Linked DNA regions of Mytilus edulis. The main gene of each other region encodes a partner of the protein of the gene in region 3 in a complex. Links are inferred from orthologs where the notes say so. Each region holds a gene or a part of one and is shown on either strand. Other genes may lie near its edges.

Region 1 (7,758 bases), about 67 Mb from region 3:
TGTGACATATTAACAGTGAAAAAAAGTTAAAGGGACAAGACTTCCATTTGAACCCCCTTACAAGTGTATTCTGTGCATGCTTATTCCATGAAATAGGGGTTCATTTTTAAAGAAGTCTTTGACTTTTCACAAAAAACAACTTTAGTCTTACCTTATCATTTAGGCATTGTATCAAAATAACAAAAACAAATATACCTGGAAGTGTTTTTTGTATTTCGAGATGACAACATTTGAAGAAACTTAATAAACTTTAAAAACTCAGTGAAACAAAAAATTAATGATACATCTAATATCATATAATTATATAAATTTCCATTGAAAAGGTTTTTGATTTACCTGTGTAGAAGAAAATCAATAACATCAAACCTTTTTTCTACATGTTACTTATAAGGAACATGAAATTCTAGTTTGTAAACATGTAAACATTACATTTTTTGTATATTAACTGCTGGCACTCATTGTAGTTTATTGTGTTAACATTGCAAAACATCATGTCTTTGTTATGCTTCTTTTATTTGGATGATGTTAGTTTATAAACCAATTAAGAATTGAACTAAGTGTTGAGTGCAGAAAAAGTTGAAATTAACGTACATGTACATGTATGCAAGCCATAAAAGTGGAAGTGAAAAGTATAAAAGTATTTAAATGTGTCTGATGTTGTGAAAAAGTGTTCATTCAATCAGACATAGTTTTATAATAAAATACTTTTAAATTATGTCCTGTAAAGGTTTATTTTCAATAAGAGGACATCACAGTCTGCACCAAAAACTTTTTCAACTACTAGTCTGAAGATCAATATTCTGACATTTTTCATATTAGTTCAAACAAAGTTTTGCAAAAACTTACTAGTCCGAATGAAATTTTAATAGTTTGGGGCATCGAACTAGAGGCTAACAGTGCAGACTGCATCATCTTATGGTGTTTTATATACATGTATCTCAACTAGTTCAATTCACTTGTGTATATGTAACTGTGTATATGATTACAGTTGTATAACGAAAGAAATCTCTGTATTACTTGAAAATTATTACACCAGGATTTTTCGATATCACAAACTAGTCAAAATATTTAATAGATTTTACCATCAATACAACATTGTACAAGGATATCATTCCTAAACATAAATAAACATGCAGACATCTCATACATTCAGGTATTTCACATCCAATCTTTTAAGGTTATATTCTTTATAAAGCACAAAAATGTCTGCATTCACCTCAAAGGCTAGCCAAACCTTTAAACAGACTTATTCAGAACATGCAGGAGGGATATTGTTATGATACTGTTTTCAGGTCATTAATGATGGCATATATTGGTATTAATTTTGATTGACTCGTAAGGTCTTTGCATTGGAAATATGGAGGAACAGGAGAGATTGTACTTGATTTTCATATAAAGAAGACTTATTTGATAATCTTTCAATCAGTTTAATTGTGGTCTGGAGCAGGCATGAAAGTAACTGCTAGTAGTCCTTTGATAAGAGGACAGCATCTAATGGTCCTTTGATAATTTATGTATCATTGTCATTTTGCTGTGTTTCTTTTGTTACCTTTTCTGACATTGGCTCAGACTTCTTTTAAACTGACTTTTACTATGCATAATCATGATAATGTTGTGCGATTCTTTATTCTACATTTGCTAGAGGTATAGCAGAGGGTTGAGATCTCACAAAACATGTTTAACCCCACTGCATTTTTGCGCCTGGCTAAAGTCATGGACATGAGTCTCTGGCCTTTGTTATTCTTGTATACATGTATGTTTTTTTCAAATTTTAGTTCATTTATATGTTTTGAAGTTTAGTATGACATCCATTTTCACTAAACTAGTACACATCTTTCTTAAGAGGCCAGCTGATGCCCACTCAGGATGCAGGATTTTCACACTGTGCTGAAGACCCATAGTTAGACTTTGGCTGTTATCTGCTCTTTGGTAGGGTTGTTGTCTCTTTGACATATTCCCCATTTCAATTCTCAATTTTACAACATGTACATGTAGTTATGAACTAACTAGGAATGTAGCACTTGGATTCTAAGAAATATGGTTTAATACCAGGCCTGGATTTGGACAAGGGCAAACTCTAGTCTAAGTGGTACAAACTAATCTGCATAGATCTACATTGTTCATGTACATGCTCAGGGGCCGGTATCATAAATGTGTTTGGGCAGAAATATGTGCCAGTCCACTGGTATGCGTTATACATTGTGTTAATAGCACTATTAACACAATGTATTATGCATACCAATTGACTGGTATACATGTATTATTTGGCTTTTAATGTCGATCCAGCCCTTTGTCTATCTGTCACAAGTTTTAGCAATCATAATCTTGATTGAATTGATTGATTATACAACTGGTGTTACTATAGTTCACGATTAAAACAAACCAGTTATAAATAGAATAATGATTTTATTTAAACAAGTCATTATAATCATTACATTGAATTCAATTGAAAAACAGTACCAATTACACTTAACTGGTTTCAACTTAATATACATCATGTACATGTAATCCATCTGAATATTACTCCAAGGATTAGGCATACTAACTTCACTTGTCATCAAGCATTGATACTTTTTACATAAATCCATATGGGGTCTCACTAATTAGCGACAAGAAGTGTCAAGAAGCGATAAGAAGCGACAAGAAGCTATTTAGCGACAAGAAAACATTTTTTTTTATTAAATATAAAAAAATATTCATTTAGTCATTTTTAATATATACGGGCAGAAATAAATTGATAATTTTTTGTTATTATATTGATAGATGAAGAAATGAACATTTGTGAGGAAGGGATTGTGTAGTTTTTAATTATATGGGGACGAAGTACCCTACATGTATTACAGTAGAAAATTCAATAAAAAAAAAATTTCATTGTACTAATGAACTCAAAATCGTTCAATTTTTTTTGTCGCGTTTTTTAATTTCCAGATCTGCGCAGAAAGCATAACTCTACTTCCTTCTTCTGGTCTTGTTGTCGTGAGACTTTGATTAGTCTAGTAAAATATAGGAACTCAATACCAATATTTCATTTTTAATCATTCTTTGTCTTTGGTATGCATAAACGTTACCTGATGCATTGTGTTTCCCATGTTTACATTGAACATGACGTCATACATGTAACTTAAATAATGTCACAAGTAAAATCCTTAACAACAGAACCAAAATCGGAAACGTTACCATGCTGAATGCCTATATGACAAAATGAGAGAAAATCTAAGGAAATTCAGCTACATGTAATTACAATATGATAATTTAGTTACTTTTGCTTAAGTCATTATATGAAAAGTCCATTCAGGGTTATGGTTACGGTATTTCCCTTTCTTTTTTTTAACAAATATTAAGTTACAAACAAATTAATTTAAACAAACTTCGTCCCCATCAACAGGTAATGCCTGCCTCATATTATTGATAGATGAAGAAATTAAACATTTATAAGAGCAAAGGAAATGCACACGCTATAAAATGAAAATAAAAACAAAGATTTTTCACCTTTCCTTTGAAGGATTTATTGAAACAATTACATGGAATATTATTTCCTTTCTAACTGTACAATTCATTGTCCTGATAGGACCAACGTTAGCTGTGGCTTCACCGAAGGTAATACACGATGTAGAACTTCAAATGAGATTAACGAGGCGCGTGTCCTTTGTTTTATTGCTACAATAACATCCAATTAACACAATATCATGTAAATAAATGTAGCAACTGAATTAAAAATGTAGATCTATGTCTATTTTTTATTTCTACCAATATTAACTTTCTTGTCCTTAAAATTGTTTTCATTTAAATATTCTTTTAATATTTATTTGGAATAAGTAATTTTAATAAAAAAAAATGTTTTCTTGTCGCTAATATTATTCTTCTTGTCACTAATTAGTACATATGTAACTAAATCCTCTGAAGTTAATATGGATTATTAATATTTTTATTATGGGTCCGTATCGACTTGGGGCCTGATCAACCCTTCACCTATATTCCAGACCCAAAATATCTGTTACACAACCTTTCTTCAGACAATGTTGAAAATTGAATGTAAGTCAAGTGTTGTGATTGCCAAGTTAGTGATATTGTTGCAGATAATGAAAAAATACTCACCTTCCCATATAAACTACAGCTCCTTTACAGGATATATAGAAAACAACTGTCAGTGTCAAAAGTGGTAGAAGGTGGTCTGGTGGATTCGGTCTGGTTAAATGTTACGCACGATCTGTTATGCTTCCTCTGTTATTGTCTTTATCCAAAAATCAGAAAGTAAAATATAATGCTTATTCTAAAAATTTGCATTTCTGGTTTTAGATGTTGCATTAAAACATAGTTTTAAATATAGTTTGACATGTCAACGTGGTTACTCTTCCAAGCCGGAAGTAAACATTAACGTAAGTGTCTTTTGCTTTATTTTTATTTATTTTTAAAAAAAATTTAGAAAAACAATTTTATTATTATTTGTTCTGACCAATTTGTGTTAAATTACTCTTAATACATATATCAATAGTTTGTTTCATATGATTAAGTTTTGTTCTTCGGGTTTCCCATTTGCGACAACTAACAATCGTCATTTCTAATGTTTACTTCCGGACACATGTCAAAGTTATTTTCGTTTTGATCACAGCTGGATTTTGTTGTTTTGCTTCATGGCTGCTGAAGACATCCAAGTTAGAATTTGTCTCCAAGAAATAGTAAAGTTAGATTTAGAGATCAAAGCTTGTATTCAGGTAAAGGTTTATTCTGGTCACATCTTACCTTACCAGGAAATCTTTCTCCGTCCACTTCGGGACAACCTCATTTGAGTAGTCAATATTCCACCACCACATCTATGTACACTATTTTACACACATTATCGGTAATTATATAATACACTTGAGTACGGAGATATCAATGTTTCATATTATCCTCCATGCATCACTGAATTAGCAATGTTTAAAATAATTTCCACATTATACGAGTATATACAGTTCACTATTTGACAGGTATGCTCTCGGCACAACAACAGTATAAATACGGGAGTACCGATGTTCGGAACATGTTATAAGTTCATAACAATGAAATATCCTCATTTCCTTTTAATATCTAAAGATCGGTATCTTGCTATATGTAACGCATACACATTTGCCTGCATATTGCATCTAATTTAACAATATTTTCACTATTTCCTTTAAGTCCAGTATAGTACAACGTACAGTCCAGAATTATTTGGATTTTATCATGACTGGAAAGTGTTCTAAGGTTGTCTTTCGATATTAAATGTAATATTTCATCGATCTGGTGAAAATATTTTTGTCGGATAGGTTCTAGAATTTGACAGTCCAACAGGAAGTGACAGAGAGTTTCATCGCCTTGATCACATAATTTACAGATCGGAGTTTCGTTTTCTGTATATCTAAATCTTTTATTCTGTAATATATAAGTGCCAGTTACTAATTTTAATTTAATTGCCAGTCTTGTTGTTTCTCTGGTCGGATCGTTAGTTGTATTTATGTCCAAAAGATGGTGAAATTCCCCAGGATTGTATGCGTCTATATTAAGATGTCGAAGAGACATATAGCTTTTTCCGGATGAAATTATTGCTTCTTTCCAGTATTTATAAACGGCAATTTGGACAGTTCTCTTCCATTGAAACTTTTTTGGCGCACAGTTTAGAAGTTGTAACGGAGATGGTAGTCCATATTTAAATATCATTTTCTTAATTGAAATAAACCAGCTGTTGCTCGATTGATCTTTGACGGTTAATTGTCTAATAGCCAATTTCTTTTCTAAATTTGAGTTGTCTTGCCTACATATGTTATTAAATAATATTAGCGCTTTTTGGTCGATTTGTGCTTCTATAGGTAAGAATCCGGATAGGATGTAAATACTCGGATCTGGTGTACATATCGGTAAAGACATAATTCTCTTAAGCAACTGTTTTTGGAACTTTTCTAATTTTAGTAGATTTGATGAAGTAGGTAATATAACTTCTAAGCCGTATGTAAGAATAGGTTGTATAAAGGTTTTGATTAGATGTAGTGAGGTAATCGGATCAAGTCCATTCTCACCATGCAGTCCTGCTGACATGAGACTGTAGGCGGCTCTCCTAGATTTAGTAATGTTCTGGTCAGTGGTTTCATTTTGAGAGTTTTTTGAAGATGTTGATCTAAGAATTCCTAGATGAGGTGATTTGTCAACGATTGGCATAGGATTTTCGTTCAAAGTTAAATTGACTGATTTAGACTGTTTCTTGCGGTTAGATGGTTCTATTTGTAAGACAACACTTTTTTGAGGCTGTAGTAGATAGTGATGGTTTTGACTATATTCAGCAGCTATATTTATGAGAAGTTGTAGTTCTGCTGGATTTTCGCTCATCAAGGCAACATCGTCCGCACAGGCTATTGCATTAACAGAGGTTTCTCCAATTGTGCATCCCTGTGCAACATTTTCAAAATTATGAAGTAAATCTTCAATATATATTTTATACAGATCTGCACTGAGAAGACCTCCCTGTTTAACTCCCTGTTGGACTGGAAACTTTTCTGAATAATCATTTGCCCATTTGACGCATGCTTCTGTGTTTTTATGTATTTCATCAATTAATATCCAAGTAGCTGGATTGACATCGGTGAAGTGTACTTTCCGTAGTAGAATTTTTAAGACCACAACATCTAAGGCAGATTTCGCATCCAGTAAAGCTATAAGAAATGGTGATTTCTTGTCCATATTTTTCTCTATATACTTCTTCTACTATAATTGCTGCATACAGTGGTGAAGCATTTGCAGTGAAGCCTCTCTGTAGTACTGACTGTAGATTGAGAGAATGTTTTCTTAGATCATCACGTAGTATGTACTCAATTATTTTTAATAGTATTGGTAAAACAACTATACCACGGTAGTTCTTGGAGTAAGATTTGTCTCCTTTGTTTTTGTAAACTGGTGATAATAGACCAATCTTTATAAAATAAGGAATCAGCCTTTTTTGAAACATAGTATTTAATAAGTCAAATATTGTTAAGCAACAAATAATTGACCAGAATAAAAAAGTCGCAAATATTGACTCCTATAAGTCGATAAGTGATCAAAATTGGTTAACTTCAAGACCCACGCATATTTATAAGGAGGTCATGCATCTAAATCAAATAATGACAACAGTGAAAGACAATGCTTTGTCTTCTAAAGAAAAATATGAATGAGAGTCTAAAAAATCGGAGATAATGTTAATTAACCTTACAATGCAACCACCTGGAACTACACTTAATGAGGAAAAACATCTGTGTTTAGTAAGGATGTTCAATTAGACAATTACATATAGATAGCTCAAGTCCTTGTGAACTCTCAGACAGGTTTTTGCTGTCATATGTTGTGTAGTTTGGCCACCAAGTGAAATTAAGTTTTTTCATCAACATAAATAGACCTAAACAAGTCTGTCATTTTATGACTTACATGTAGATAAGTCTAAAATTGAAAACACATTTTTATGATAAATACATGTTTTGACTTCTTTATTGTCAAAAACAAAAATCGACTTGTTTATGTCTGAGCTCTGACTGACTAGAAGAAAAATAGCTCTTTCATAAAGCCATCTTTGAAAGAGTTGCTATACCTATTCCAATGCACATTATAAAACCAAGAAGAACTTCGAGACTCCATCAACCGAACACTAAAAGATATGTACAAATCAGGCCAAACAAAGATATCTACAAATACAGCTTTTTCCCTAGGACCATCAGAAACTGGAATAAACTACCAGATGAACTATCAGAAATTGAGAGCAGTGAGGAATTCAAGACC
Region 2 (8,453 bases), on a different chromosome or scaffold from region 3:
TAAATAATCTGTTAGGAAATGAGCAAGGCTAATATAACTGCATACCAATATGCTAGTAGTGGTTCAATGATGAAAAATTCTAAAACAAAATACTAGTAAGAAAATAAAAGATATAACAACATGGTTTTAGATTATGGAAATTTATCATCTTTCTACTAGAGAAAACAATGCCAGTCTATTGCTTGCTATGTGGTATTGTGGGTTTTGCTCATTGTTGAAGGCCGTACACTTCCATGTCATTTTGTCTCTGTAGGAGAGTTGTCTCATTGGCAATCATATCCCATCTTCTTATTTTTATTTTAACAGCAAAAGACAAAATGACGTTTTTAATCAACATGATAAAAATTGTGAGAAAACAAGAAGATTAGTTGGAGATCCAGATTTGGGGTTCCAGCAGTTGTAGCATTTTTTTAAAATGGCTGGATCCGCCCCAGAAGATTTAGAACCTACCATGTCATCCAAGTATCTGTTAGAGTCTTTTGATTCTGTTTCTATATCAAACGCAAGCTGAAAATAGTAAAATTATGAAAGAGAACTACCGGTATATAAAAATTGAATCAGTAACAGATTAGAGGGCCTACAACTCCTCTGTTTGAAAAACATATTTTTTTATCATGTTATGCATATAATCTTCCAGTTTTGCTTTACTTGCTTGCTATATATATTATCAGTTTCATTCAATAATTAAGTGCTTGTATGCACTGATGGGTACAAATTGCTTAAATTTATCAGTGGGAAGCGAAATTAAATATTACATTTTATAAAGAATTGAATTTAGTTGATTCAACTACAATTATTTGGAGTGAGGAAGGTTAAACTTCAATTGTAAAGCTATCTTCAACAATGACAAAAATATGATATTTTAGAACAGATATTAGATTCATGCACCTTGCACAAGTTACAGTAAATTCAGAAATTTGAATTTGAAGTTTGAATTATTGCAATTATAACATGTACATGTATAACACTGTCCAATTTTTCGCAATAATGAAAACATTGCAATAATTTCTGAATTTACAGTATTCTGTATTAAGTCAGGTTAGCACATACTGATTTCAGTCTTGATACTTTGTCTGATAATCCATCAACTCGTCTTTGGTTTTCAGAATCAAGCATTTCTTCTGATCTAGACAATCCTGAAATGTAAAAGTATATGGTCAATTTAAAAAAAATTACATGTCATTGCCTAGGGCCACAATTATTTTGGTTTGCCCAAACCCTACCCAAACATGTAGGTAGGCATTTTCTTTTTTTTTTGGAAAAGAGAATTTATCAGATGTTTATAATTCTTCATGGCTATCAGAATGAAAAAATATTTTCACATCAGGACAATAAAAGATTATGAGAAGGCAGCTATTTTCTGGGTACATGTAGGTAGGGTTAGGGCAAACACACCTATTCTTTTTTATGGCCTAGTTAAAATGGTTTCTAAATCTACATGAATGTATGTATTCCATTCTACCCCATTATTAATCAAGGGTATACCTACATTTGTACATGTAGAAATACTTTTTGAAATATATTTATTTCTTGGCAGGCACTCTAGCAATGTCTAGACTTATATATTTATTAGGAGAGTTAACTCATTTTTTTGTATACTACCATTTTATATGAGTAACTGTAGTAAAATACAAAGGAAATTTATAAAAATTGATTGCCTGAAATACATATTAAATTTACTTTCCAAGCATTTGTTAAGCTATATTAATAATACTATTTACATGATTTAAGAAAGATATCAAAATTTCCTTAAATCTAGTTATCAAAGAGAAATTAAAAATTTAGAAATAAAACCATAATAAACATACATGTACATCATTTTATACATAGTGCAAGTATATACATTTCTAAAAGCTTGTACAAATTTTAGAATCATCTGAATGAAGAAACCATATGCAAAAAGTAAAATCACAAAAATACAAAACTTAGCTATAGAGGAAAATCAATTTGAAAAGTCCATAATCATGATAATCACATTGCAAAATCAAATGACAAAACGCATCAAAACCGAATGTACAAGAACTGTCATATTTCTGACTTGGTACAGGCATTTTTAAATGTAGAAAATGTAGAAAATGGTGGATTAAACCTGGTTTTATAGCGCTAACCCTCTCACTTTGATGAGTACATGATCATTTTTTGTAAATTCAGAAAGGTATTATCTGTAATGACCTGGTACATGCTATAGAGTTACATGTGTATCTATTTAACTAATAAAAGAATTCAAATATCGGAAAAATATTCAACTCTTGACGGAACAACATTGATAATTAACTCATGCGCTACACTCATTTGTGAATTACAGTTGTTCAGTCACCTGTTGAATATTTTTCTCCACTTGAATTCTTCGATTAGTTATTCTGTAATTATATTTTTCTTCAATGGGTCCCAAATGTAATGGTCATAATAGTATGATATGAATACACCTTATAGATCTTATACATGTAGTTACATGTATTTGTTTTGTCCGCCATTACATGTCATCACACAGGTTCCTGTAAAATTTTGACGCCATAATACAAAATATCCGACTCCACAATGGAAAAGTGATTGTTGTGTGACGTCAATAGTTTAAGTAGTACAGATTCTAAGGGCCAGCCAGGAATAGTGATATGGTGTATTGGGGGAACATTAGCACGCACACGAAACCAAACATGAGTAAACGGGAAATAAAACATCAAAACACAAATAAAAAGGCGGAAAACGTTGTACGAAATAACTCTTAACCGCCCTCTTAGAGTAAGGGTTATAGACAATTATGACATATCAGGCTTTAACACTTTCATGCAAACATGATCTGGATACATACATCTGAGACTACTATAACACTGTGTGATACAAATGCTATAGTAGTCTCAGCATACATGTACATGATATAGGAAGATGTGGTATGAATGACAATAAGACAACTCTCAATCCAAGTCACAATGTTTTGATTGAAGAAACGAAATAAAAAAAATGACGCAGATAACTATGGGTACACTATTGTGCGCGAAACGAGCGTTGAGAGCTTTAAAGCTGCTCTCACGAGACGTCAGTAAATCGACGGCGCCTTCACCCCGTTGTATTAAAGCCAGAATTGGTAGCTACGACGTAACCATACAGATACAGACAGAGACGCAGATAACTATTACCATTCCGGTTGTTCCTGTTATCTGTCATTTTTTTTTCGGAGTGTTGATGTGTCAAAATCTCCAGCAAAACATTTGTACAATGTCAAAAATTATTCTAAACAAAGAGTGATAGATTGCGATTAATAAAACGTTTCAATGACATAACTTTTTCATTTTTAATACTTTATCCGTTCTCGGATAAAAGGTTGAAAAATTTCCGGAAAAGAATAACATTGATTAGACACCAAATATTACAGTGTGTTTTTATATGCCTTTTACATGTTTTATACACCTTTATTCTAAAGATGGACCACATTTCCCCCTATAAAAACAAGATCGCAAATAAAATATAAATTATTGTGTAGGTATAGTGAAGACTGTCATATAACCGATTGGCATTCACGGTATAAAGTTTTACTCAGTAAACTGACTATTTACCAAGAGGGTACTTAATTGCTGACGAGTTTTGCACTTTTCGTTTATTTAAGATCTTTTTCATTAGATTTATAATCAAAAAGAAATATGAAACATAATCTCCTTAAATAACAAGAAAAAGAGCCCTCAATCGGACACTCAGCTGACGGGTCCTTAAAAGTTTTATTTATAATATGAGGAAGCTGAGACTACTGTGTTAAAACAGTCTCAGATTCTCAGGAGGAATTAAGGCGTTATCTTAACTTTACCAGCTAATGAAGCCAATATAATTAACTATGTCCTTACATACAGTTTACGGTAGTTTTGATCTAAAATAGAATAATAAATTGGAATATTTAAGTTAAGGGTCCATAATGTTTTGTACTGAACACAATTTTATTGGCGATTTATCTGAATGACAATGCTTACATTCATTATCTTGTGAAATTTTCATATCCATTTTTCTTTCTTTGCAAATGTTAGAATGGTTGGCGATTGATCTGGTATCTCAAAAAAAGATACCTCTGATATCAATAATTTAAATAGAATCATATTCAAAACAGTGTGGCTGTGACTATTGATTGACGACCTAAATTATCCCATTGACTGGGACAGATTATGTGAACGTTTGTCTGTAACGACCACTGCTCACTGTGTACTTGTTAAAGACACTTAAACTGTGGGGTCACCAAAGGTTCTCAATGCCTGAATAAAGTAATTCGAAAAGCTAATCAGGAATAACACGATGTTTTGATTTATATCAATAATATAAATCAAAACATAAAGGTTATTTCTGGTTAATTTTTCGAATTATTTTAATATTAAAAACTTTAAGAACCTTTGGTGATCCCACAGTTTAAATTCTATAATAAGCAAGTAGTGAGCAGTGGTCGTTACAGACAAACGTTCACCTAATCTGTCCTAGTCAATGGGATAATTTAGGTCGTCAATCAATGTCCACAGCCACACTGTTTTGAATATGATTCTAAGATCTGTTCGGATTTTTTTCTTTCTGAGATCTGCGATTTTTCAATGAATGGAGACATAATTACACTCTGGCTAAGACCATCGAAGCATGCACGTTTAAATCCTGCCTTTCGAGTTATCTTAGCGCTGTTCTGTGTTTTGCATATTCAGTGTTCATGGTGTTCGTCATCTGTGAAACAGATACTCCATAACGGTCATCCAACTCATTATGATCTTCGTAATTTTTTTGTAGGCATGACTTTAACTTCACCATTTGGAACTATTGGTTAACACATTGTCGAATTGAGTCTTGAATTACGTTTTTTTTCAAAAATTTTCTCATTTTTTTTGTCTGATATTTTAATAATTGTAATATGATGGCTTGTACGTTATCTTAATAATTGTATTATGATATGATGGATAAAGAAAATTATGCTTTCACTGTTTTGAGCTAATCATCTGTTCAGCAAGGCTAAAAAAAAGAAGAGTAGTGATCGATATCAAGTCGAAAATAAACTAAGATTTCTAAATTGAATTGTTCCAAATTAATTTTATTTTCTGTCGGGATCTTTATAGCAATACATTAAGGTAAGGGTTTTTCTCATTGATGAAGCCCGTACATTTGCACATAGTTGCTCATTTTACTTTATTTAAACTTTTTATGATAGTTGTCTCATTGGCAATCACACCACATCAGTCTCATTACAGCAGCACACAAAACGCAGAATCGATGAATCTAAAGAATGAGCACCACTAACACCCACTAAAACCGGGGTGATCGCAGGTTCTCCGGAAGAATAAACTGATCTTTCTCTACATGTAGTTCCAGTCATGTTGCTCTAAGTTCAATATCTACGCATGATAAGTCTAATTGGGTATTTACATTGATGGAAAATGAGACCGGGGTTGTGTTTACGATGATCGGAACATATTCGTTGTCGGTCTGTGAAACTGATATGCCATATTGGTCATCCAACTCGTGATGGTGTCTGTTATTTTTTCGTGGGCATGACTTTATAACTTCACCACTTGGAACTTTTGGTTATCACTTAGTCGAAATCTTAATCAACTCCTGATAGGAATTATGTCCTTGAATGACGGTTTGTTTTTATATAATTTTTTTTCCGTTTTTTGCCTGTAATCTTTACTATTATGTTATGATAGATAAATAAAATTATGCTTTAACTGTATTACGCTAATATTCCGTTCAACCAGGCTATAAACAATGCTAAAAAGGTCAAAATGTTTTATGAAAGTCCATAAAATGGCAACTACAAATAATAGAGAAAATCTATCTCTCCCAGGCCATGCGCAAACACCAAATTTAGTTTGAATATCATAAATTGCATTTGGACATGCTAGGCTTAACACTCGTCATGAAATATCATTGAATCTTGTTTTATACATTGTATTCCCTTTTCTAAACTCATCAGACTTTACAATTTATTTGTAGTGTATGTTTTTAATTGCAATTTATATCGAACCCGTATCAGAACTTTCGTATTTGTTATTTACGTGTTGGTGTGAATCTGAAAATAGCATTGAATTTTAGATTTTCGCCTATTCATTGAATCGAGGAAGTTGTCGCCGTCCTATTTCTCTTATTCATGAGGAAAACACCTTGCCTATTTCTCCGAGTAAAAAAAAAATCGTCAACTATTTTTCACTGGACGTCACGTACATAAATCATTAATCAATAAATAGACAATATAAAATATGCGTATTTTTAACCTAGAAAACAGTCAATATTTATAAATTCAATCCATCAACCATTAAACGTAACAACAAATCGACCAATACAGCGGTTCCAACCACTCGATATAAAGAACTTGTCACTTGATACATTGCAAACATTTTATAACCAACAAACCAACCAACCAATCAATCAACTAAAATTGTCTATCATATATTACACTCAGGAAATATGGAATGAATTTCTTTAACAATTGTTTATAAAACATACATTTGATACACAAATGATTGTATACATGTTCGTTGGTAGTAATTTTACAAAAGCTGCTCCTGTACCTATAGACATCTAATAAATCAATAATAAGACCATCGACCATAATTCTTAAGTATATATATATATATATATATATATATATATATATGGCTTATTATACTATGAAACACATGCGTTTGAGTCATATTTTTATTTATTTACATACTTAAAGCAACAAGTATGTTTTGGTCAAACTCCAATTAAAATAGTGTCACATAAAATTGAGGTAGCTTATACAAATAGTAGCACAACTAATTCATACATAAGAATAAAATCTTATGTTCTACATTCTCAAACTAGAGACATGTAATACATACATGTATATTATATGTACCTGCCCAAACGACTTGTTTGAACAAGAACTCCAAACGTTTAGGTATGCAATGGCAATGTATTGAACTGTTCTTTTTACCATACTGCATGCCTGCATGCGCACTAAAGTAAAATGTAAATGCAGCCATATGTTTTGTATGTTTTCTTCCAATATACATTGTATATGTTATCTATTTGTGCGTAACTTTGTCAAATATTTCTTTATTCAGAATACACAATTGCATAATGAGACCGTTGCTAGGACACACTTTACGACATCTTCTGATACACTTTACGGCATTCCAGATAGGCAACTGTTCCTTTAGCATGAGATAGGCAATTGCCATTGCGGGCGATTTTCGGACTCCGCCTGAACAGTGAACCAAGACTTTACCTGCAATAATAAAATGGTATTGTATTTTTCCCCTTAGATACAGTATATGAAACAAAAAATATCGTATAAAGTGTAAGTTTGTTTAGTTATAAAATATAAAGGGTCGCTATTTGATATCAGGGGGCAATGGGGTCCAGGAAGAATTTTTTGATGACGAAACCTTTGTTTTCCATTTCTAACACCCGCTTTTATCTTCCACAGGTAAATATGATTATAACATCGTACTAATTTTGTTCACAACTTTTGCAAACTTGCTGAATTTGGTTTTCCAGACTTTTCATTTATATGTAACTCAAAATGAATGATCACAAATTTGAAATAGAAAAGGAGGCACTGACTGCCATAATAGGAGCCCCCTACAGACATGCTTCTGTGGTCACCTATATAATCAACAAATGTTCCCCACAAAAAAGGGGGGCTGGAACAGCCAATGCTAATTTTTAGATTTTATTTAAAATAATAAAGAAAACAATTAACTAGCTGTCGATAATTTTGCTCGTGTATATATAGAGAAACAGATACCGTTATACCCTGAATGATAAGTAAATTGCATCTATTTTTAGCTTGGTTTTTACTTTCATTTATAGCTCTCACTTGATAGAGTACCTGAATAGTGTACGACACAGTAGGAAAAAAGTCTGAGTAGATTAGCTTACCTCCATCTTTTATTGTGTCCTCTATCAGGTCCGCACCATCTTCAACAATATTCAATAAGCATGTGTATACGTTATCATCCGAACTTAGTGGACAGTATTTTATGTCATAAGGTTCATAAATTAATGGGTTCGTTTTCACTTCATTTGGAGATAGATTTATAACTAGATTTATCCCAAGTTCCTTTAGTTTTGTCGCATCCCGTGCAATAACCCTGAAAAAAGGAATATGGAGTTATAAAACATTGTGAGATAAATTGTATTTTGTTTTGGCTGTTCTGTTTACTTGATTATAAACATCCCCTGTTTGGTATCCACCGAAAAACAGTGGCGTAGCTGGGTCATTTTTACGTGTACGCCCGAACCTTGGCGAGGAATATGAGGGTAGCCAACCGCTCAATGTTAAAGCACCTGCTGGTAGTGGGTTCGAAAGGAACGTAGCCCCTGAAAGCTATCGAGAATGAGATACCGTAATGATTCCTGTCAGTAAAAAATCATTGATAACAACATACTTTTATGATGAAATCATAATCTTTCAGTCAGTTTAATTGAAGTCTGGAGCTGGCATGTCAGTTAACTGCTAGTAATCTGTTGTT
Region 3 (7,731 bases):
TAAGTGTCTATTTCAATTGATTCAATTAGTTTGTGTGAAAGATTTTAACTGATTTAATCATTAAAAACGCTCTGATTCAAGCTTATATATATGAAAAATCTATCAAATATGCCAAAAAAAACGTCACTTTTCAGATGTTTTTTGTCAAAAATGAAAGTGGCTGCATCCGTGTTCATCCTCAACCTTTATATATGATTTGTATTATCATCAAATACAACTTACATTTCAATATTATGAATGAACACGAATGCGGCCACTTTCATTTTAGACGGAAACCGTCTAAAAATTAACCAAAATTCTAAAATTTGGAAGATTCCAGTAATTTAGCATGACTTTATGATACCAGTACGCAATATTTGTGCATTGTATTGTCAAAAACAGCTCATATTTATGTAGCAGAATCATTTTACTTTCCAAAATAAAGCTTATGGATTACATTTTCACAATTTTCTAAAACTGCTATATTTTGGGGCCAAAAAGGGGTCTTACTGAACATACTCCTTTCTGTTATTTCAAGGAAAATGTCTTACACACTTGCCAGATTTACATTATGTTTTCACGGTTATCTCAAAATATTTTATCAGTCTGCTCAACATTGAGATTATGAATGTCAAACTGTATTTAATGTTTAAATATAGCAAGATGCTTATTTTTGAATTGACTGATGTTTAATGTTCTGTTAGTAATCTGTTGATTACATTCAAGATCATAACATGTAAATGTGATATGAATATGAACCACAATCTAACTAACACACAGCAGTCATTCCCAAGATTGCAGAGTTTAGTAAAAATGAGTCTGATCCAGTAAAGAGATATGCATTACTGAACCAAATAGCAAGTAAAATTTAAGTTTTGACCTAATCATGCAGGGACTGCGCTGTGCGTCGTCAATGTCGCAATTTGTGATGTTTTATTTCATCGGGCGACAAAAACAGCTGCTGGCGATATTTCTGGCCCCAACATTTAAAACATGTGAAAATTTTCATTTCTTTTGACAATATTGATCTTCATTTTAATTGGTAAAAGTTAAAAAAAAAAAAAAAAAAAATTCTACAAAATTTTACCTGGCGACAAGTTTATGACTTTGTTTACAACCCCATGTTAATCAACAGTTACAACAGGTGTCATAATCTGTTGTTACAGATCTGTTTATCGAATGGGTCATTAATGATCATCCACATTAATTAATTCAAATATATATACATTGTAATTGGTCAGTCGGCATTTTGTCTATTTCATTTGAAGAAATGTTCATACAACAACACAATTTCCAATGTTTACCGTAGTTTTGATTCATGTGTGTAAAAGACTTATAAAAAAAAAGAGTCTGGTCCAGTTAAGACAAATTGTTTACTGGAACAAATGTGCAATGATTTCTCAAAGCCATGGGAAAGATTTATGTTCAAATTTAGACTGGTGTTACTTAATTCTAAAAATTATTGTATTCTGTTTATTTTAACTATTGTATGTGTACATGGTGTATCTCTATGTATGTGTGCCTATGTTTTTAAGATAATTCATAGATCACTCTTGGCAAACTTTTCAATCCCTTTTGACATCATTGTTAAAATAAGTATGGTTGCCTATAATTGCTCACATCCATTTTTTTTTACCTTTGGTGCAAAGTCGTCTCATTGGCAATTCGACCACATCTCCATAATTCTACAAATGTATATGTGTAGCGGTAAATAATTTTGTCATATCTAATTACCTGCCTGCATTTACATAATCCTTTCTGTGCTTTAGTAGAAAATCTTTCAACTGTGTAATGGTTGATACCTAAGAAGAATATTGAAACTATAAAATAACTGTTCAATGTGGGTTATAAATCAAAACATTTCAGGTAATATCAGAATTATTTTACACAATCTTGAAATACCATTAAAATGTTAAAAGTACAAATTGATAAAGATTTGCTTTTTTTTAAACAATAAGAGTCAAAATAAAATTGAGAATGGAAATGGGCATGATGAGGAATATGTCAAAGAGACAACAACTTGACCAAAGAGCAGACAAGCCACCAATGGGTCTTCAACGCAACAAGAAAATTCTGCAACCAGAGGTGGTTCTCAACTGGTGTACTAGTTCAGTGAAAATTGACATAAAAAATCAAGATATTGAAAAATTTAATTTTTTCACAGAAAGGAAAAAAAATGCCCATCAAAAACCAAGAAAGATTTTATCTCTCTTAACCCTTTACTCCATGGATATTTTTTTTTAAATACTTGATTTCGCATAGGACTTTTTTCAGTAAAAAAAATCATCAGGTTTAAAGTGTTAATGCATTGTGAAAACTAATATTTCAGTGATCAATGAAATTCAAGTCAGATATTCTCATGAATCTCCTTTTCATATTGGATAAATTTTTTTGAAGTCTGATGCAGACATTTTGGAGACATAGCGTTTCAACTGAGGTACTACACAGGCGTCATTAAAAGATTATGGAGTAAAGGGGGTGGCGTCAAAAGGCGTTATTATGGAGGAAAGGGTTAAACACTAAATGCATTTAACTTTTATATACATGTGGATGCTAGGCCTTAAAACTTTCCAAACAGCACAGGTAAGTCTGTACACAGAGTAGTTTTTGATGTGAAAAAACAGTCAAATTTGTCCATTTGTTTAATGATCAATGAACCTTAACAGAACAAGCTTTTATAAATAACGTTAAAAAATCAGCAGTATATTGTCTTTTTAAACATCTTGCAGTGATATCTGTATGGTTACGACAAAGTTACCAATTCTCGCTTTAACTTGACGAGAGATAGAGCGCCTATTGAAGATGTTGGAGAGCTGTAATTATAATGCACTGTCTGTTTATATTTATTTATTTGAAATAATTAAAATTTTATTTGTTTTACATTAAATCTGTTTTGTCATTTCTACACTTAATTAGCCTTCTTGTCACCAATAAGAAGTGAAACCCCTTATACTTACCAATCCTTTTGCTGTGTTTTCAAAATCACTCCTCTGTTTTGTGGCAGGGAAAATATTAGTAAATTCTTTCTTTCCATTTTCCTTTGAAATCTTATTTCTACTTTTTATAGTTTTGACTGTCGCTTTAAATAAATTAGTAACATCTGACATTGTGTTGAAATGAGAAAAAGGTAAACAATATGTGTGACAGGTTACATATATATATGCTTCCAACTTGGCACTTTTCGGTTCACAGATTCATATGTCAACAACGACGAACTTATTTTTATTTTTACTTGATTATTACTGGGTAGTATGACGTGAATTGTGTGGCCACTTACAGCAAAAAATATATCATTAACTATCTTATTTATGCAAGATACTTATTACAATGATTGAAAATAAAATAAAAATATGTTGGCAACTTATAGCAACATTTTGGTCTTCAGATTTTGTGCATCTATGTCGATTTTGCGTTTGAAATAAGTACCGATTTTTATTTGATTAAAAAGAACATAAATGACTTTGAAATAATAATGAAGAAAAACAAAAAATGAAAATGTAGAAGTTTAGCAACCAAAATGATTAAGACGGACATTTGCCTTCATTTTATAGTTTTACTCTGTGCTGTTTCAAGTATTGACATAGAAGAATGTTATGAAGACAAATGTGACGAGCTTTACGTCCCTCATGCACCACTTGTTTTTTGTACAAATTTGTAAGTGGTTTTAAAATTAATAATCGGAACATCCTGTCGAGCATGCCGATGAGAGCGGACGTGAAAATTTTTGCAGAGACAATCCTTCAACATCATTGAAATTGTTTTGTCAAATTGATTTCATGGATAAATATTATTATCCTTACATCGTATATTTTATGATTTGGATTATATTTTTTTTGTTGAGAAAGATTTCTGCAGATATTTTCAGGTTTGTTTGAGACATGTAGTCAGATGGGATCCATTAGTAGTTTCCATGTGGGAAACTATCAGACCAATCTATTTGATGTCTGAGGGTTTTAGCTGTTCCCCTAATGGATCGGTAGTTTCTTTCCGAGATCCTTTATCATAGGATTTTCGGCTTTCCTCTACCAGGAATACAGCTGGGCATTTAGCGGTATCGGTTTGGATTCCAAGTATGTCCTCTCCGGTTTCCCGTTCGTTGTCTAGGCATTTGTGCGGCATCCGGGGTGACCTTATCCTTTATTTTGTATATAATGTTTTTTTATAATATGCATTTTTTATATTTTTGAGGATGAGTGAGTCAGGTGAGTGGGTGTGTTCGTATGCTTTATTACATTGTACTTATTGTTTTGGGGAAGGTTAACTTTCTGGTAGTAAGACCCGTCACGGCCAGGCTGGGAAACTGGATAGGCAAATGCTCACATTAAATCTGTATCGATACAGTGTGTTAAATGTCTTCCTTTTTACACCATAACCCATGGTGGTGCTCCTACTAAAGGAGGGAGATACGGAACATACATACATCCCTTAATTAAATATACCTTATTGCTACTACTATTACTGGAAATCACACAGGTTCCCGTAAAATTTCGACGTCATAATACAAATTATCTGACGCCACTGAAACGGGGGTGGAGTTTCCACTGGCTTTTTTTTGTACAGGGAAATAAAAAACACCAAAGATGCAGAACTACTTCAACAAGATCTGGAAACCCTACAAGAATGGGAGAATGATTGGCTCATGGAATTTCATCCCAAAAAGTGCCAAGTCATTCACATTACCAGGGGTTAAAAAATCCACTAGCCCGACGCCCGGGACTAGATCATTTACGCCTCGGGCAATTAAAATGTGTAATCCGATATGCCCGACGGACTAGTAACAAAAAATTCTTGACGTTTCCAAAATAGAAAGTGAAAAATCCCTTCATCACTATTCTATGTTAGCCATTTCGATTCAATTAAGTCATCCGGGATCCAAGAATTTGAACTGGTTTGTACAGGTCCTGTTGTACATATTTTAAACATAGAACAAATAACTCTGGCATGTCTGGGTGGCCTGGTATCATGTGTTGATTCTCGTACTTTAAATATCGATTTCTCATACCATTGATTGAGGTATTGTACATTGCTTATCGTGCCGAGATTTTCGATTAACGTTATTTGAGGGTATGATGTATTGATTGGTATTGACATGTCTTGTTGCACAGCTCTTGAGCACGAAACTATGCAACAAAATATTTCTTAATATATTAGTACGGGAACCCTAGGAACTTTGTCAGTTTCTAAACGAAAAACGGTAGATGAATGGAGTAACGAGGCTGAAAATTCATCCCCCCCAAAATGCTAAACCGCGGAAAAACAATAATAGCGTCCAGGACAGCAGGGCTGTCAAGTCTTTAGCGCGAGACTCACACATGTTCATGCTTATTTGGCGGCATTTTCCTTTGATCTGTTGTTTTTTCTCTTTGATCTTAACAATTTGGCCAACAAAAAACGCATTCACTTCCCGAAAAGTTGGCAGAACTGGGACACAATGATTACCTTGGCTGTTGCTGATGAAAAAAACAGACAATGCTCTGTGAATATTGCCGTTAGTTGCCCCAAGCTAGCCAATAAAAAGTCTGCTTTGAATGTGGGAACAACTTAGTTAGGTTAAGCACCAAAAGAATAATAACAGATCAACAAAAAATATTAAATACAGTGTATAATGTCTCCTTCAAAACAAAGGGCACCTACTTTGTATTGTGCAGCAAACTCTTAATTTTTAAGGCATACTAGGGCTAGCAGGTCAGTTTTTATGGACTAGCAGTTCTTCCAACAGGGCTAGTAAAATCCTGCTGCCAATAAGTCCTGGGCTAGCTAGCTGTAACAAAATTTTTTAGCCCCTGATTACCAACAAGAGGAAACCAATCAGACAGCCATATATCATCCATGGTCACGTCTTAGAGGAAGTAGAATGTGCAAAATATCTGGGGGCCAACATCCACCACAAACTAAACTGGACTACTCACATAGACCAAGTAGTAAGAAAAGCCAACAACACCAGGGCTTTTCTACAGAGAAATATATCACAATGCCCACGAAAGACCAAGGAACTCTGCTACAAGACCCTTGTGAGACCACAGATGGAGTATGCAAGCATCATTTGGGATCCACACACAGCAAACAACATCCACAACCTGGAAATGGTACAACGTAGGGCAGCAAGATTTGTTACTGGTGACTACCACCGAACCACTAGTGTAACAAACCTATTACACCAGCTGCAATGGCCAACCCTACAAGAGCGTAGAGCAACGAATAAAGTTATAATGATGTACCGCATAGTTAACCACTTGGTTGCAATACCAACATCCTGCTTAATCCCAACAGCAGCAACATTAAGAGGACACAACCAACGATTCCTTGTTCCATTCGCAAGAACGCAGCTTTACCAGTACTCGTTCTTCCCAGACGCCATCAGATTATGGAACAGTCTACCACCAACTACTGTAGCCTGCAACTCAATTGACACATTCAAGTGTGAGTTGCAGAAGACCAAGATGTATTAAGGACTGTGCGAATTTTTTAACTGTACATACTATTTTTTAACTGCACTGTAAATATTGGTTTGTCTGCACCACGCATCAGTTCGATAATACACCAGATGGTGGTATGAACTGTATATGGAAGAAGAAGAAGAAGAAGAAGGCTTCGCTGTCTTCCTGTTGTCTACCCAAGTTCTGCTGGGATATTGGACAAAGTATGTAAAACATGTTAACATAAACAAGATGTTTATTTAAAGACATACATATGATTGAATTATAAGTTACATACAAGAAATACTAAAATATACGGTTGTGGCTAGTCTACTTGTCCTTTTAACCATGTTAACATGTTTAAAGTTCCATATTTGAAAGCCAAAACAGTATGAGCTTCTGCTCATTTCAAATCCTAAGTGTAGACTGCCACAAACCTGGTGAGTGACTTCATACTTATAGTTCCTAGGGACAACAAGCCCGGCAGGGCCCAATGTCAGGCACGTGCAAGAAGCAGGAAGTCCTGACAAGAATAATTACATTGCCAGTCTCGGGAGAAAGAGTTACGGAACTATAAGTAATACTAATATTAACCAATTTCCCCAAATAAATAGAATAAACAAGAAAACAAAGTGACTACCGTTACACCACAATTGAAAAGTGATTGTTGTACATGTATGACGTCTATAGTTCAAGTGGCACCGATCCTCAGGTCAGCCAGTAATAGCCATAACATGCATATATAAGGTGTATATTATCCCTAGAGATTTTGAGATATTCTTTTCCTGAAATATGATCCAAATGATTGGTCCAACATGTGTATTGTGGTTGACGTACAACATACTTGGGAGGTCAATCCTCAATCTTAAGGCCTGTTGGAAAAAATTATCTCAATGTGCAGGTTTTCTCAACCGTGTGTTTTGCTCAATGTTTTTTCTTCTCTGTGCTTTAAAAGGGTATGCGCTGGTTAACATTGGGACTAAAGTATCAAATCTGCCAGTTCTGTCAATGTAAGGCCAAGTGTGCTCAGTAGCTTTAATGTCTTGAAGGTTACTTTTCATTAGTGTGGACATCATTCAGACAAAAGACATTTGATAATGTCTTTCAGAAACTCAACTATATTTATATATGGATATTTTTAATGAATAGCATGAACTTCCACCAGGATTGAAAGCCAACAAGTGTACAATAAAGGCAATCAATCAATGATTTCCTTGCATGTTCTTGATTATTGTTTGTGATTGCTTTGCATTATTATACATGTTATATATACTTGCAAATCTGTCATCTCAAATGTCTAAGAAAAAAAATGTAAGCAAGAAGAGGTACATGTATC

The links.
Region 1: syntaxin-18-like (region 3) and vesicle transport protein SEC20-like share a complex: the UniProt entries of both Homo sapiens proteins name them as parts of the SNARE complex. The link is inferred for Mytilus edulis from reciprocal best matches to the Homo sapiens genes STX18 and BNIP1.
Region 2: syntaxin-18-like (region 3) and BET1-like protein share a complex: the UniProt entries of both Homo sapiens proteins name them as parts of the SNARE complex. The link is inferred for Mytilus edulis from reciprocal best matches to the Homo sapiens genes STX18 and BET1L.

What each region holds. Positions count from the first base shown.
Region 1 is NC_092347.1:13,288,908-13,296,665, forward strand, and holds the start of vesicle transport protein SEC20-like, read left to right. Parts: upstream 1-4,549; 5' UTR 4,550-4,631; coding exon 4,632-4,712; intron 4,713-7,758. Other genes in the region: ectonucleoside triphosphate diphosphohydrolase 7-like, read right to left, coding at 4,096-4,103. UniProt on the Homo sapiens protein: As part of a SNARE complex may be involved in endoplasmic reticulum membranes fusion and be required for the maintenance of endoplasmic reticulum organization. Also plays a role in apoptosis.
Region 2 is NC_092350.1:69,796,341-69,804,793, reverse strand, and holds the start of BET1-like protein, read right to left. Parts: upstream 3,210-8,453; 5' UTR 3,163-3,209; coding exon 3,135-3,162; intron 1,137-3,134; coding exon 1,051-1,136; intron 508-1,050; coding exon 451-507; intron 1-450. Other genes in the region: dual specificity protein phosphatase 3-like, read right to left, coding at 7,002-7,204, 7,861-8,072. UniProt on the Homo sapiens protein: Vesicle SNARE required for targeting and fusion of retrograde transport vesicles with the Golgi complex. Required for the integrity of the Golgi complex.
Region 3 is NC_092347.1:80,145,443-80,153,173, forward strand, and holds the start of syntaxin-18-like, read right to left. Parts: upstream 3,371-7,731; 5' UTR 3,087-3,370; coding exon 2,937-3,086; intron 1,782-2,936; coding exon 1,714-1,781; intron 1-1,713. Other genes in the region: TM2 domain-containing protein 2-like, read left to right, coding at 3,497-3,633. UniProt on the Homo sapiens protein: Syntaxin that may be involved in targeting and fusion of Golgi-derived retrograde transport vesicles with the ER.